2 linked regions of the Daphnia pulex genome follow. The protein of the gene in region 1 interacts with the protein of each later gene in a biochemical or structural test. Links are inferred from orthologs where the notes say so. Each region holds a gene or a part of one and is shown in the gene's direction. Other genes may lie near its edges.

The links.
Region 2: the proteins of peroxisomal membrane protein PEX13-like (region 1) and peroxisomal biogenesis factor 19-like form a complex in vitro, tested with the Homo sapiens proteins (2 studies listed by BioGRID and IntAct, with this or other methods). The link is inferred for Daphnia pulex from reciprocal best matches to the Homo sapiens genes PEX13 and PEX19.

What each region holds. Positions count from the first base shown.
Region 1 is NC_060017.1:2,686,472-2,690,360, reverse strand, and holds peroxisomal membrane protein PEX13-like, read left to right. Parts: upstream 1-1,230; 5' UTR 1,231-1,360; coding exon 1,361-1,455; intron 1,456-1,530; coding exon 1,531-1,827; intron 1,828-1,898; coding exon 1,899-2,146; intron 2,147-2,221; coding exon 2,222-2,428; intron 2,429-2,498; coding exon 2,499-2,740; 3' UTR 2,741-3,090; downstream 3,091-3,889. Other genes in the region: opsin, ultraviolet-sensitive-like, read right to left, coding at 3,184-3,307, 3,372-3,473, 3,535-3,868. UniProt on the Homo sapiens protein: Component of the PEX13-PEX14 docking complex, a translocon channel that specifically mediates the import of peroxisomal cargo proteins bound to PEX5 receptor.
Region 2 is NC_060022.1:6,085,189-6,088,710, forward strand, and holds peroxisomal biogenesis factor 19-like, read left to right. Parts: upstream 1-1,354; 5' UTR 1,355-1,511; coding exon 1,512-1,614; intron 1,615-1,679; coding exon 1,680-2,005; intron 2,006-2,076; coding exon 2,077-2,268; intron 2,269-2,335; coding exon 2,336-2,539; intron 2,540-2,599; coding exon 2,600-2,698; 3' UTR 2,699-2,813; downstream 2,814-3,522. Other genes in the region: DNA-binding protein Ets97D-like, read right to left, coding at 2,855-3,219, 3,297-3,473. UniProt on the Homo sapiens protein: Necessary for early peroxisomal biogenesis. Acts both as a cytosolic chaperone and as an import receptor for peroxisomal membrane proteins (PMPs).

The sequences.
Region 1 (3,889 bases):
CTTCACTCTTTACACCAGAATGTGTGGACACAGTCCTGGTAAATGTGTAATGTCTGCTGATGGGGATGTCTGGCTGAATATTTATTTTCCTCGTTTTTAAGGCTAATCGGAAAAGATGCAGATGGTCGGAATGAACAACCGCAGCCCAGATATTTAGGCACGGTATTCTACGTTGCGCCAGGGCTATAAGATCAAGAGGATGCATTAGATGAATTCACTTTCTTTCATAACGCCCACTACATTTCAATCTAATGATGGTCGTATTCACGGTGAATATTTATCGAGAAATTTTCACGTTGGAGAGTTTGTTTGTTATAGATTCAATCCTTCGAAAATTCTCGGATTTTGTTGTTCAAATATTCTTCTCGTTGCTCTCTGATTTTGTGGAGGATTCCGTTCATAACTTTTTAAAAAGAGAACCTGATTTGATGGGTTTGTTATGAAATGACTGCCCCAACTATTCAGTGAGATGTTTAGCAGTTTCTATTCAGAGCCGAGTTCTTTACATAACGCTGCCGTGCAGGCGTTCATGAAACCTATTGGCAGTCGACGTTGGCTGAATAGGGGGGTGGGCAATGGTGGTTGAATACACATCAGGAATCACGCACGCTTCACGACCGCACTCAGCAGAATTATTACACAACTACTACCAGAGAACCGGGTTGGTGAGAGCTGTGCTGCTGTGTGCAGGCACTTGGAGGCCATTCCCAACTCTCCTCCTTCCCCAATCCTATAGCCTTAGGCAGCTCCAATAATTGGCTGCTGCACGACAACGAATAGAAATTCAATCTCACCGGAGTGATTGCTTGCCAGCGTGAATCCGAGAACCTTTTTCTTCAATTCCTATTTATGATGTGCTCTCTACTTCAACTTTTTTTCACTCTCTCTCTCTCCCTTTCTTCATCCCTGACATGTTTAGATTATGTTGAGTGGTTTCCCAAGCATTTTAGCTTCATCCGAATCATTCCTTATAATCAAACTTCATTGTCGATTATGTTGAATATGTTGCAGTAAAAAAAAAGATATTAATAAATCTGATTAAATTTGAAATAGTCGTCAGACTTAATTTCAAAACAGTAAAAGTAAACAGACAAGGATATTACGCATCAACGCGTGTGTATTGTTACTTAGTTATATCCTTAACGTATTTAAAAGTTTGCGGCAGATTTTTGAATTGAAAGAAATTTTCACACTACTACCATCTACCGGTGTACAAACTCATCTCATTCGTTTCGGAATTTTTATAATGGTGTCGTCTTGTTGTTGACAAGTCGATTCCGTTTTCTGTATCAGAGTTCGCTGGATTTATCAGCAAATCGAGGCAAAGTCTTCGAGTTTTTAGTCTGAATCGTTCAACGCCATGGCAGCTCCATTAAAGCCGTGGGAAAGGGCTGGTGTAAATTCACGAGCTTTTGGTGGCGACATTGGCAACACCTTACCTACACCCATCGTCAGGTGCGTAATACATGTTGTGTTTAGTTCATTTGTTTGGTTTGTTACCTTCATCAATATCTGTTTTGATTATTTTAGTGGGGGTGGAGGAAGTGCTTTTACAGCTTCAGGGCCTGGCGTCCCACCACTGCCTCCTAGAGTACCCGGGGCAAACCCAACAAACAATGATTATGGTGCAGTTTCAAGCTATTCTCCATATCGAACAGGCATTTCAAGTTATTCAAGCCCTTACGGTTACAGTAGTGGATATGGGGGTTATTCGGGACTTTCTAGTGGCTATGGTACTAGTTATGGAGGCTATGGTAACAGCTATGGTGGATATGGAAGTTACAACTCTTATGGAGGGAGAAGTTATGGAGGGACAAGTGATAACAGGTAAAATTTTAAAAATTAAAATAATCATACTTACAACAATTCAACAATTTCATTATTTTTTCTCAAACAAGGTTTATTTCCATGGCAGAAGAGAGTTCTCAACCTGCATTTCAGAGCTTGGAATCAATTGTCCATGCATTTAGCTCCATTAGCATGATGCTGGATTCAACCTTGAATGCTGTTTACAGCTCTTTCAGAGCCGTATTGGGTATGGCTGATCAGTTTTCCCGAATGCGAACACATTTAAGCAAGGTGTTTTCTGCATTGGCCATATTTCGTACGGCAAAATGGGCTCTACACAAATTATTCTACATATTTGGTATGTCTGATTATGCAAATTCTCGACGCAGTAGTTGCAGCCATTGTTATCAACTAAACCCCCTTGTGTTTACAGGTTTGAGACGAGAAAATCCAATCAATACGGCATGGTCCACTGCCGTATCAAATTCGGATGCCTTATCTGCGGGTCTATTGACTGAAGCTGATATTAAAAAGTCCAGATCATCATGGCCCATCACCTTGTTCCTTGCCATAATCATTTCTGCCCCATATTTCATATGGAGGATCATATCTTCCCTAGACAGTGCTCCGGATGCACTAGGTGCGTTAACACACTAACTTTTGTTTCATAAACTCGCTTATTCAAATTATCTAATCTTTTAATGCTCTAGGAAAAAAGTGGGCTGATGGCCTAGGAGAATATTATACTGCTCAGGCAGATTATGATTTCAATGCCGGAAACGAACAAGAATTAAGTTTCAGAGCTGGCCAATCCCTACGCTTGGCTCCCCGTTCCCTTCAGCCTCGCATCAAAGGCTGGATGCTTGCCGGCACCGATTCACAACACACGGGCCTCGTACCTGCGAATTACATCAAAATTTTGGCCAAACACGAAAGTTCGACTCCCAAATAATTCATTTGACTGATATACAGTAGCTAAACCAAAGGAATAACCTTGTCCAAAAGTAAATTGTTAGCTGTTTGATGCCATTCAGTTATTTCGAGCTATATTTTTATCAGTCATGGAGTTGGGCCACTACTCATATTCAAAGCCTCAAAAACATTTAAGGCGTTTGAAATTATTGGCGGCCTTTGTGAAATTATTCAAATTTTTTTTACCCCAATTTTTAGAGGCTTGTGAATAGGAAACGCTCAAATGTTGACGAAATCGTACGATTAAGTGATGATGACTCCTTTTTGTTATGCTGGGTTTGTTTATTTGTAATTCAACAAATCAATATATATTGTGGGATATTAAAACTACTACTAATTGCTATGGATGATTTTTTCTTCGGAAGGTTATGTTCATGATCCTGTTTCGGTCCTTGGTCAAAATAATTAAAGGCTATGCAGATTTTACGAAGAAGTTTCCTTGGAGACACCAGACATTTCTGTCGTGGCCGAACCGACGCTCGAATCGTCGTTGGTAGGAACAGGCTCGTGAATGCAGAACCAGGGCATTTTCTTCTGCAGTTCCATGCTGAAAGGATGAAGAAAAATGTGGTAAGAATGACTGTCATTTCACTATGAATAAGATGTGTTACCGATAACGGGGATGGTTGATTGCATAGATCCATGGGTTGATGCAGGATACCAATTTACAACAACAGGCAGGCACCGTGCTCAGAAGTGGTGTCAGGACGGACCTGTGAAAAGATGACGATGGTGATTTATTTGAGAACAAATTTGTTGAAAGTATTATCTCACCTATTTCCAAAAGCGGCTGTGAGAGCCACAAAGGCATAAGGAGTCCAAGCGAAAACGAACAAGGTGGCGAGAGCAATTGCAACTTTAGCAATGCGAACCTCAGCTGATTTTTCATTTTGATCGCGGTTGCTGCGCAGGGAAGTAACGTTCATCTTTTTGGCCTGGTCACGGAGAGTCTTCTCGTGGTCACCAACGGATCTCACAATTTTGGAATAGTAGAAAATGAGCATTGCCAGCGGGATGACGTAGGAGTAGACGAAAATGGAGCCAACGAAGAACCTGGTCGAAGCGTCCTCCGTCATGTAGTCGAAGGTGCAAGTGGTCAGGAAACCCTCTTCAAATGTAATCAAATATT
Region 2 (3,522 bases), on another chromosome or scaffold:
TTAAACTTGAAGTGCTCTTCCAGTGCTTTTCTCCTTTTTGTGTATCGTTTCTCCTTACATGCAAATACTGAGCACCCATACAGTTTTCCCCGGTCTTATTAGTACTTAGGAGGTGCTACGAATCATTTGGCTATGATCATTTGTTCTCGTTTAACAGTGGTTAAACTGTGTCTTTTTTAAAGAGTAAAAATGTCCCCCAAACGAACTTCAGCCGAATTCATTACCAATAGAAATTGCAGCCTAAATGTTCGTCCTGTAACTTTATCACATAAAGGTTATTAATCCGTTACAGCTATAAGCTGTTATCTAAAATGATTTAAAACTCTGTTAGAATATGGATCGCGTGTTTAAAACCAAAATTTTTTTATTAACTAGTATCAGGGGTGAAATTGGGTTGGTGCAGGTCATGTTGAATGTTTACATTTTTAATGAATGAAATACAGATGCATTACTTGCATTTTTTTAAGTTCACTCATTTTGATTCATACTTGAATTTCCATTTTATCAGCATTCAACACATTATGTGTCAATTATTTTTTTAAGCAATTGAAGTTTGCCTTAAAAAAAAAAATGACTCCACCATCTCGAAATCATACCAGGTAGGCTAGATGGTGAATTTTCTTGATTTGGTGAACATTCGCGATGTGTCATTCCAGAATCGGTAGTACAGCAATTCGTGAAGAAGAGAAGAGGAAGAATAAAACGAAGCAAGATATTGGAGGATCAGTGAAAACTACTACTCATGTATTGATTTTGGTATCAGCAATGGACAAGCACTATTGCGGCAAGGCAGACCACCGTGTACGTTATAGAATATCACAATTTTTACTGTCATTTTGTCGGAAGACATATTACCTTTACCAACTGAACGTACTTTTTCAAAATTCCTTCTTTCATAGCTTTTAATTTGGGTCTGGCAGGTAAGTGAAATTGATTTGAACTTTGAAGCAAAGGCGGGATGGTAACGACTGCTCGACTGGTAACAACGGGATATAACGACATGTTCGATGTTCTGTTTTCATTTGTTAAAGCAAGACTAAGCTTAAAGCAACCGCCCTAATGGAAATCTTTGATTTTGACTATGTTACGAAATATTACTGTTAGGTTTAGAAAATATTTATGAATGAGCAGTCGCTTCTGTTATTCAGAACAAAAAATACATTTTACTCTCCCAATAAAGACGCAAAATTCAAAACCTAAAAAAAAAGTGATTTGTTTTAATTCATTTTTCACGCCAAATATAATTTTAATAAACAAGCATTCATGAATCATGATGAAGCGCATCTGCTTCATTCACGCACGCACGAACCATCACTAAATACCGAATGATTTCGGCAACATCGCGTTTTATTTATGAGGTAGTATTTCGTCGTCTTGTCTGGTCTTGCACTCTTTTCCTTGTCGAAATTTCCGGATGAGCAAGTTTTGAAGCCTGTGTCGATATTATTGATATCGAAATCTATTTCTACTTATACAATTCTGTACTTTGCTGTAAATAGATACATTTCAGTATGAGTGGAACCGGTTCTAATGATCCAAAGTCTGTACAAGATACGGCAGATATTAAAGAAGAATCTAAAGGAGATGACGAAGAACTAGACGCTTTACTTGACGGTATGTAGTTTAAACTAACTAGTTATTTGCCAACAAAGGAATAAAACATTCATTAAATGTAACAGATGCCCTGGAAGGATTTGACAAGCCACTGCAAGTGCCCAAAACAAAAGACAATGTTAAAGCCGAAGCAGCAGCACCTACAGATCAAGTATCAGATGTTGTGTGGTCTGAGGAGTTTATTCAAGAAGCGAGTTTGGAATTTGAGAAAAATATTCGTTTGATGATGGCAGAAACAGCACCAGGGGCCAGTGGTGATTCTGGATTTGCTGAAAGTTTGTTAAAGGTATCACAAGAAGCTGCAGCTAAAGTATTTGAAAGACAACCAGACCAGGGAGCATCCTTTGCTGATACTCTACGCTATTTAGCAGAAGGAACAGAATCACTTCAGGTAAATTTTTGTGGGTAGGATAAACCAAACTTTTTTATTTTTACTTTAACATGTCCTTATTTTTTCCATAGACTGAAGCTGATGAAGCTACATTAGCCAAAATGCTTGAAAAAATGGCATTTGGACCAGATGGGGGATTTGGAGATGGTGCTGGTGGAGATATGGGAGGTTTGGGTGACATTTTACCTGCAATGCAAGGAATGCTTCAAAGTTTGTTATCAAAGGAGTTGCTTTATCCATCTATCAAAGAGATTGTTAGCAAGGTAAGCATTCACTTGAGAACTGATGATAGTCAATCTTGTCTCTCATAACTTATTGTTATCTCCTTAGTACCCAGATTGGCTCGCAGACAATCGGCCGAAATTAGAACCTGCGCAATTTGAAAAATACAACCGCCAATACGCCGTTATGCAGCAAGTGTGTACCGAATTCGAAAATGATAACGACACTGATGATGCAGCGACGAAAAATAGTCGCTTTGAAAAGATATTAACTTTGATGCAACAAATGCAAGAATGTGGCCATCCCCCTAAAGTGAGTGCGACTACGAATAATTTGATTGATTTTCATTTAATGAAAAATCTTAATTTCAAGGAACTGGCTGGTGAAGCTGAACTGCTACCGAATCCCTTCGGTGGCGCGGATTTTGCTCAATCGATGGGACCTGGTGCCGAAAATTGTGTTGTTATGTAATTAATATAGTATGTTATAAAACATGTTTTTGTTATTGAAATTGGGCTATAAAAGGTATTAGAAGGTCGTTAAAAAAAATTGTTTGAACGGCATTACAACTTAATTTTATCATTAATGGCGTCAATTCTCAATGATTTAAACAAATACGTTTTGTATTTACACGTATGACGAACTTGCCCGTCTCATTTTGGATCGTTGCTCACACTCTGTTACAAGCTTATTAAGTTCATCAGCCGAATAGCCCAACAGTTGTTTGAGGTCACAAACAAATTTATACACAAATCGTTTACCGCTTACTTTGCAAATCATATCGCCATCATAATAATACCTCAGGGCTCGACTGAGTTTCTCATAGTTCATGTGTGGTTTGTTTTTCCTTTCTCCCCATAGTTGAGCCACCATTTCGGGGTTATTTAATTTGAATTCTCCTCCTGTCCCAAGCCAAGAAATAGCATCCCGGAAATTCACATCGGTCAACAGCTCAAGGAGAAACTGCCAGAGTTGTACCTGGCCATTGCTGCCTGTGAAACGGACAAGTTAATTCAAGTTAAAATCACCTTGATCATTAAAGCATACATATACTATATTTTTTAAATACCTGTTCGGTTTCCTGAGTTAGCAATCGAGAACGAACGCGAGGAAAATGTTTCAAGGGGAATCCTTTTTGCTGGAGTAACAACTTTAACAGGCGGTCTTGGCATTCTGGAAGTATCAGATTTAACTGTCAATGGAGTTGTGATATACTGAAGATAAGGCACTGGTTTTTGAATCACCCCTGCATAAAACTTTTTAGTACACGTTTGCTATCGTAAAAATTCAAACTT